2 linked regions of the Callithrix jacchus genome follow. The protein of the gene in region 2 purifies or fractionates together with the protein of the main gene of each other region. This does not show direct contact. Links are inferred from orthologs where the notes say so. Each region holds a gene or a part of one and is shown on either strand. Other genes may lie near its edges.

Region 1 (4,107 bases), on a different chromosome or scaffold from region 2:
CTCTTTGCCTCAATTTCCTCATCATCTGTACAAGTACTTTTCATCACCCGGGATTAAATGAGTGAGCATATAGGAGATGCTTCTAAGAGTATGTGACACCTATCTATAGCATAAAGTGCCATTGGGACACAAAGTGCTAGGGATTTCGTTTTGGGGTAGAGGTCAGAAAAAACTACAGGGAGTTGATATCTGAACTACAAGTGGAAAGATGAAGAGGTCATGAAACGGACAACGGTGAAAGAACAATTCAAGCAGAGAAAGAAAACAAATTACTGCCTCAGGGGGGTTGGGGAAAGAACCAGGTCTGACTTCTAACAACTATGGTATATTGACTCCTAGCATCATGGGCAATCATACCTATTCAACATCTACTACACTGCAATACTCAAGCATGTTGTTCTCTGTTTCCCATAACAACTGTCTAAGTATTGTCATCCCTATTTAGGTTAAAGAAACTCAGGCTCAAAGTGGTAAAATAATATGCTTAAGGCTAAGCAGCAACTGGGACGCAGAGCCAGGATTCAAATCCTGGTCGATTTAGAAGCCAATGATCTTTCAACAATACCATGTCACTTCAATTATTAACAGTTTGGGAACAAAAACAATTATATAAAATTGGGTTGCTTATTACATTATGTCAATAGAAATTTTAAGGTCTACAAAAAAATAGCCATGACATTGTAGGGAAAAAGCATTTTAAGATGTTATAAAGCCCTCAGATAAAGTGTATACTGTGGAGACAGATTTCTCTAGCTTAGCACTACGAATGTAACATTTAAGTCAGTACGGAAATTCAATTAGACACATAGGAGTTTATACTATGTGTCAGGCACTATTCTAGGGCCAGGAGAAATGACATAATGCATGAGAACTACCTCACCTCCTCACAGCAGCAGAGCATGAGGGGTAAGCTGGCGGTGTGGACCCCCACAGATTGCCGAAGTTCAAATCCTGGATACCTCATTTACATCCTGTGTGGCCTGGGGCAAGTTACTCAAGGGCCGTGTACCTCGGTTTTAACATCTAAAAACAGACCTAACAGTAGCTAATACCTAGAGTTTAGTAAAATCATTAAGAAAGTGCCCAGCACTCAACAAATTTTATTCCTTGTTATGATTAGATAATAGATTAATGTAAAGAAATAAATGGCACAGCTCATGAAAACACAAAATAATAAACAATTACAAAATGTAATCAGCAAATGCAAATAGACAATATCAAGTGTGGTGTAAATAAATTAGAGTTTTGAAGGACATAAGACATGATCAGTAAAAAGGCAGAGGTAAGGAAAGGTATAAATCAAAAGGTTCAGAAACTTTCAGAAACTAAATGGGGACAGACAGATGAGCTGGCCTGGAGGGCCAGTCAGACATTTTCTCTCATTACTCAAATAGTCTTCAAATACTATTTCTAAATAAAATAAAATTTTTAAAAAGGCACTCAGAACAGGGAGCGCCCTCCAGAACAACCTCTGGAGCGACCCGATCCCCTCTCGGATGCCAGTGAATCTGGGACCCAGCGCCAACACGAGGGTTCGGCCTCTTCTCTCAACAATTCATTCTCCACTAAGTTGTTAGAATGATGCACCTGAAACCAAAGGCCTTTTACAGTAGGCAATGGCAGTGCATTGCCAGCACTTTGGGAGGCCGAGGCGGGTGGACCACAAGGTCAAGAGATCGAGACCATCCTGGTCAATGAGGTGAAACCCCGTCTCTACTAAAAATACAAAAAATGAGCTGGGCACGGTGGCACGCGCCTGTAATCCCAGCTACTCCGGAGGCTGAGGCAGGAGAATTGCCTGAACCCAGGAGGCGGAGGTTGCGGTGAGCCGAGATCGCGCCATTGCACTCCAGCCTGGGTGACGAGAGCGAAATTCCGTCTCAAAAAAAAAAACAAAAAAAAAACCTCATTCCTTACGAAGCCATAGAAGGGGTTTACACTCTCACCCCATCATCCTACTTCTTCTACTTCCCCCAAGGCAACAGACCACGGCATTCCTTCAACAGACACGGTGATATTCCCTTTTTCTTTTTTTTTTTTTTTTTTTTTTTTGAGACGGAGTTTTGTTCTCGTTACCCAGGCTGGAGTGCAATGGCGCAATCATCTCGGCTCACCGCAACCTCCGCCTCCTGGGTTCAGGCAATTCTCCTGCCTCAGCCTCCCGAGTAGCTGGGATTAAAGGCGCGCGCCACCGTGCCCAGCTAATTTTTTGTATTTCCAGTAGACACGGGGTTTCACCTCGTTGACCAGGATGGTCTCGATCTCTTGACCTTGTGATCCACCCGCCTCGGCCTCCCAAAGTAATGGGATTACAGGCGTGAGCCACCGCGCCCGGCCCTCCCTGTTTTCACATCTTGGCACTAGCTGTTCTGCCTATTCATTGTACTGTCTCTCCAGCAACTAGGCGGAGTCGAGAGCTCCTCACCATTTCCCCTTTTCCAAGCAGCAGGGGGGCTCGAAAACCAGCCGCAGCCGGCAGGTCCCTAAGGCCGCCCCGCCGCCCCTCACCCTCGCCCAGGCCCCGCACCCCGTTCTCTTCTAGGACCTTCTCGAGCTACGTGTCTTCCGGGCGGGCCGCAGCAGAGCTCAATCTTTCCATGTGCAAAGAAGAGTGAGAGCGGGCCGAGCACCCGGTCCCTGAACCTTTAGCTCAGCTCCTTCCAACAGTAGAGGCCTAGGTGTGAGCCGGAAACAAAGGGGCAGTCCGCAGTCTCGAACCAAGATGCCAGGGAACAGCGTGCTTCTTACCACAAACACGGCCTCGGGAATCCCCAGGTGGAGCCGCCGCCCATTCCCTGTTGCCATTTCTCCTTTGCCGCTACCGTCTTTCGCGGCCGCCATCTTGGGGATGCGAGTGCTCGACTGCCTTCCGAGCCACCGCCCACCAGGATTTCGTGATTGGCTCGTTCGCACCTACAGGCCCGCCTCTCCGTACACATTCATTGGTGCGCAGGAAAGGTCCCCCCACCAAGTTCCGGTTCTCCTTTGGTCGAAATAGGTGCTGATTGGCTGCGCTCAGGTAAGTGACAAGCGTGGAAGGGCCGCAGAAGACAAGCTGGAGCGGCAGGAAAAACCCTTACGTCCTCTTGGGAAAAGGAGTCTTGTGAGTGAGCTGTGCTAAAGCCCTAGGAATGGGGACCTAGCCTGACCCCACCCCGACCCTAGAACTCGCAGCAGCCTTGACAATGGCCTCTGGAGCGACCGAATTCGCTCTCGGATGCGAGCGAACCTCAGACCTATCGCCATCACAAGCGTTCAGCCTCTGTGCCTTTCTGGTCTCACCATCCCAAGGAGCTTCCTGCCTCTTTTTTTTGAAACGTATTTTCGCTCTCGTTACCCAGGCTGGAGTGCAATGGCGCGATCTCGGCTCACCGCAACCTCCGCCTCCTGGGTTCAGGCAATTCTCCTGCCTCAGCCACCCGAGTAGCTGGGATTACAGGCACGCGCCACGGCGCCCAGCTATTTTTTTGTATTTTTGGTAGAGATGGATTTTCACTATATTGGCCAGGCTGATCTCGAACTCCTGACCTCAGGTGATCCACCTGCCTCGGCCTCCCAAAATGCTGGGATTACAGGCTTGAGCCACCGCGCCCGGCCATTGAAGGGAACTTACTTTGTGTCTGTTTCAGACTGGAGTCACGGGCCTCATTCTAATAAATACCCTGCCTGTCGCACCAACCTTTCCCGAAAGCCACCTTTGATCAGAATGTCTTCTCTCCAGCTGAAACGTTTCCAGAACCTCATAGTCCACATACAAAATCCTAAGAACTCCACCCAGGCTTCTAGGCCCATGGACTTACCCAATGTCATCCTATGCTACAATCCTGTAAAAGCATATCTGTCGTATAGAACCAAGTAATTACTCTTCAGGCCCTTTTCTGTCCTTTCTTCCACTGGAGTGTTTCCCAGTGAAGCAGTGCTTCATCCACTCACACAAATTCCACCATAAGCATAAGAATTATGCAATGGAAAGCCTTATACATAGAAAGAAACAACCAGTATTAGCCTTTCTAAAAATATACCAAAAAGTAAAGAGCATCAACATAAAGAAGAATTTACATCAACGAATGGATAAAATAGCCGGTTAACATCAAATGGCAGTAACCC
Region 2 (4,303 bases):
GGCAATCTAGGGGCACTGCCCAACAAAGATTTTACCTCTCCCTCCCCCATTCCCTGATACCTGGCAAGCTGGGTGTATTCTTCCAAAAGTTTCCCACCCAGTGGTTCAGACAGGTGTAGCGTCTCTGCAGGGTCCCGTGCAATGAAGTCAAATGCTTCAGGCAGGAAAGCCAGGCAAGCACCCAGTCTGGCAGCCTCTCGAACCAGCTCAGCACATGTTTTAAAGTTCTGTTGCTTGTCTGGCGTTGATGTTACCTGGCACACAGCCACGAGGGGCAGTTTGCAGGAGGAAGAGGAGATAGCCATGGCTCTGGGCCTGTGAACAGCATAGACAGGATTCTCAGATTTCAGTGCATGAGGAAACAAAATTAATGCTAAAGGGTGCAAGGGAGGAAAGCTGGACTTCCTTTTGATCCTGCTCTTACAGGCCCAGGGCTAGTAGGGCTTACTAATCAAATGTGGATAATTGACAGTCCTGTGTCTCCCATTATCCATTTAACAAACTGAGCATCTAAGTGCCAGGCACTGAGGACACAACAAAACGTGTTACCTGGGCTGAGCACAAAGTACAGAGAGTCGAGGTATCCGGAGTCCAGGACACAGAAAGGACAGGAGTCGGTGAAGAGGCCTGGTGAGGAAGCCCAGCCTGAAGAAGGTGAGAAATGAGGGCACCAATCCCTTCCTTGAGCAATAAATTTCTTGGATTCTCTGACTTCTCTTTATACTGTGAGCCCGAATCAGGGCCCTGCCAGCAAAAACCTTCTGGTCTTCAAAACATTTTTTACTTCTGTAAGTACTTATGGGCTAAGGGACGGTGGAAAGATGGAGGAAGGGGCTCTGCTCGCCTCCTGAACAGATCAATTTTCAATGATCTCACATTAAACTGAAGCCCTTTTCCTCTGACAAACGTTTCCGCAGTCCAAAGTCATCTCCGGGAACTACCCTTGGTTTTCCCAAGACTCTCTTCTTGACTGTGCACTTGCACAGATTTACTGACTCAAAGCGTATTTCCCCTTTCACCAGAATCTCTCAGGAGGAAGTTCACCCTAACTCGACTCCCACCCCTCCAAGGTGGGCAAGGGGCAAAGGAACCCAGGCCCCACGCCGCGCCCCGCTCTCCACCCCCCGCTCCAGTTGGCCCGTCCCTCCCCGCCTCTCCCAGGGGCAGCATCTCTGTCGCACAGGTTAAAGCACCGCAAGTGGGATTCCCTGCGGCCGACGGGATAGGGAGTAGGTCCTACATGAAAATACTGCCAAAAACATTCGCAGGATTCGAGCCGATCCGGAGGGCGGCCTGGAGCCAGAGGCGCCGGGGCGAGTGGGCGGTAACTCGCAGGCCGGACGTGACGCAAGGTGGGGGGGGTGCTGAGCTGCGCCGGCCGGAAACCCAGCAGGCGACGAAGATGGCGGAGAACAGCGGTCGCTCCAGCAAGAGCAGCGTTAGCGGCGCGGGGAAGGGGGCGGTGTCCGCAGAACAGGTGAGGAGTGGAGAGCGAGATGGAGGGTCCCCATCTGGGTCTGGAGTATTTGCGAGAAGGGGGAGCCTGTGGCTTGTGTAGGCCTTTACTCCAGTACTACATGTGCGTTGCACCCAGAGAGGGAAGGGTCCCCGGAGAAGCTAGTCGAGCCCCTTGGGAGAGGTAGACGGTTGGGCAGGTGAGAGCCACGCCTCCCTGGGGTGTTGGGTGAGCCTGGGGGAGGGGAAAGCCCTGACCTGCAGGGTCTGGGAAGATGCACAGGTCTGAGGAGAGATGGTTCGCTGCTTTCTCCATATCTCCTCAGCACCTCCAAACAGGTTATGTCTGGGCAAGACAGCTCTAAAGTAACTCCCCATAGGATTAGTTAACGGGCTGGTTGTGTAGTCTGTTACGTGATCCTGAACTCACTTTGACAATCGCCGTCACGCTGCAGAGCCACGTGACTCACATACTCGAACAGCCTAGTGTTCCATACTATATGGATTCGAGAGTTCGGTACTAGATCGAATTTCTTTAGAGACTAGAAACCCCTTTCTAATCCCAGTTTGCATTTTCCCCAGTGCCTAGCTTCGGGAAACGTTTAATAAGTTAATCACAAAGCCCTTGTGTCTTGAGAACCGTGTTTTGCCAAGTGGAAAAATAGGAGTTGGAGGAAATCTGCCCAGTGAAAATGAAAAAACAGCTATTTTTTTTGAGACAGAGTGTTGCTCTGTTGCCCAGGCTGGAGTGCAGTGGCACGATCTCGGCTTACTGCAAACTCCGCCTCCCGGGTTCAAGCGATTCTTCTGCCTCAGCCTCCCGAGGCAGGGGCCATCGCGTCCGGCTAGTTTTGTATTTTTAGTAGAGACGGGGTTGCACCTTATTGTCCAGGCTGGTCTCGAACTCCTGACCTTGTCATTCGCCTGCTTTGGCCTCCCAAAGTGCTGGGGTTATAGGCGTGAGCCACCGCGCCCGGCTCTTCATCAGGTTTTGTTGAACAGTTAATACAGACAGAGGTATCAGCATAAAGATTTTTATTTTTTGAGACAGAGTCTTGCTCTGTCGTCCAGGGCGGAGTACAGTTGGGTGATCTCGGTTCAATGCAGCCTCCACCTCCCTGATTCAAGCAATTCTCCTGCCTTAGCCTCCCGAGTTGCTGGGATTAAAGGCAGGTTGCCCAGGCTGAGTGCAGTGGCGTGATGATAGTTCTCTGCAGCCTTGAAATCCCTGGGTGATGAAGCCATCCTCCTGACTCAGCTTCCTGAGTAGCTGGGACTATAGGCATAAAACATTTTGAGTGGCTAATTAAAAAAAATTTTTTTTGGTAGAGATGGGGGGAGTTCCACTTTGTTGCTTGGGATGCTCTTGAACTCCTGGCCTCAGGTGATCCACCTGCCTTGGTCTCCCAAAGTGTTGGGACTGCAGATGTGAGTCACCTTGCCCAGCCCCCTGTGATACTTTTTAAGGATACCATGTGTCAGGCACTCTGCTGGGTACAGCAATACAGATACAGTAGTTCCCCCTTATCCAAGGGGGACATGTTCCAGCACCCCAGTAGATGCCTGAAACCTGGGGTAATATTGAACCCTATGTTTTTTCACATACCTATGATAAAGTCTAATTTATATAATAGGTGCAGTAGTTAATAAAATAGAACAGTTCTAACAATATACTATAATAAAGATTACATGAATATGGTCTCTCTCTTTCAGAATATTTTATTGTACTGTACTCACCCGTCTTGTGATGATGTGAGATGAGAAAGTGCCTTCCTGATGAGATGAGATGAGATGAGATGAGATGAGATGAGATGAGATGAGATGAGATGAGATGATGAGATGATGAGATGATGAGATGATGAGGTGAATGACAGCATTGTGATGTAGCCTTAGGCCACTACTGATGATAAGTCAGAAGGAGAATCATCTGCTTTAGGTGATCTCACATCATTGAGCCATGACGATATTGAGCAGGAGAAGTTGACTAAAGGGCAGGTAGCATATATAGCATGGATAGTCTGGGCAAAGGGATGATTCACATCCTGAGCGGGATGGCTCGAGATTTCATCACGCTATTTTCCTAACAGCATGAAAGTTAAAACTTATGAATTGTTGGCCAGGTGCCATGGCTCAGGCCTGTAATCCCAGCACTTTGGGAGGCCAGGGTAGGTGGATCACCTGAGGTCAGGAGTTCAAGACCATCCTGGCCAACTTGGAAAACCCGTCTCCACTAAAAATACGAAAATTAGCCAGTCCTGGTGTTGGGCACCTGTAATCCTAGCTTCTCAAGAGGCTGAGGCAGAGAGAATCACTTGAACCCAGGAGATGGAGGTTGCAGTTAGCCAGGATTGCACCGTTGCACTCCAGCCTGGGCAACAGAGTGAGACTCTGTCTCAAAACAAAAAAACAAACAACCTTAAGAATTATTTCTGGAATTTTCCATTTTCAGACATTGGATAACTCTGGATAATGAGAGACTATTGTAAATGAAATAGACTTTGTCTTCAAATCGCTTTACTCACAGACTCATTTGAGAAAAGATGAATCAAACAATAAAGATTTATAATGTGCTACACAATCCCTTCATTATGGCAGCTAGAGGAGAGACCCCTAACTAATCATGAAGTTGCAGGACTGTGGGCAGGGGCTGGAAAAGGGAAGCTGTGGTATAGTAGGATGGCAGAGCATTCTTATGCACTAAGTTTGAATTTCATTTCTACCATTTACTATTTATATTTGACTTCCCCTATGTTACATCTTGGCCTCCCCAATCTGTAGAATCACTGTGCAAAACACTTTGCATGTATTGTCTTGCCTAATACTCTAAATACAGTCATGAGTATTTAGA

The links.
Region 1: the proteins of PFDN2 (region 2) and VBP1 fractionate together in Homo sapiens (co-fractionation; 8 studies listed by BioGRID and IntAct, counting the BioPlex papers as one, with this or other methods). This does not show direct contact. The link is inferred for Callithrix jacchus from reciprocal best matches to the Homo sapiens genes PFDN2 and VBP1.

What each region holds. Positions count from the first base shown.
Region 1 is NC_133524.1:150,956,338-150,960,444, reverse strand, and holds the start of VBP1 (prefoldin subunit 3), read right to left. Parts: upstream 2,865-4,107; 5' UTR 2,842-2,864; coding exon 2,749-2,841; intron 1-2,748. UniProt on the Homo sapiens protein: Binds specifically to cytosolic chaperonin (c-CPN) and transfers target proteins to it. Binds to nascent polypeptide chain and promotes folding in an environment in which there are many competing pathways for nonnative proteins.
Region 2 is NC_133519.1:20,975,870-20,980,172, reverse strand, and holds the start of PFDN2 (prefoldin subunit 2), read left to right. Parts: upstream 1-1,376; 5' UTR 1,377-1,402; coding exon 1,403-1,477; intron 1,478-4,303. Other genes in the region: NIT1 (deaminated glutathione amidase), read right to left, coding at 61-315, 550-645, 1,241-1,242. UniProt on the Homo sapiens protein: Binds specifically to cytosolic chaperonin (c-CPN) and transfers target proteins to it. Binds to nascent polypeptide chain and promotes folding in an environment in which there are many competing pathways for nonnative proteins.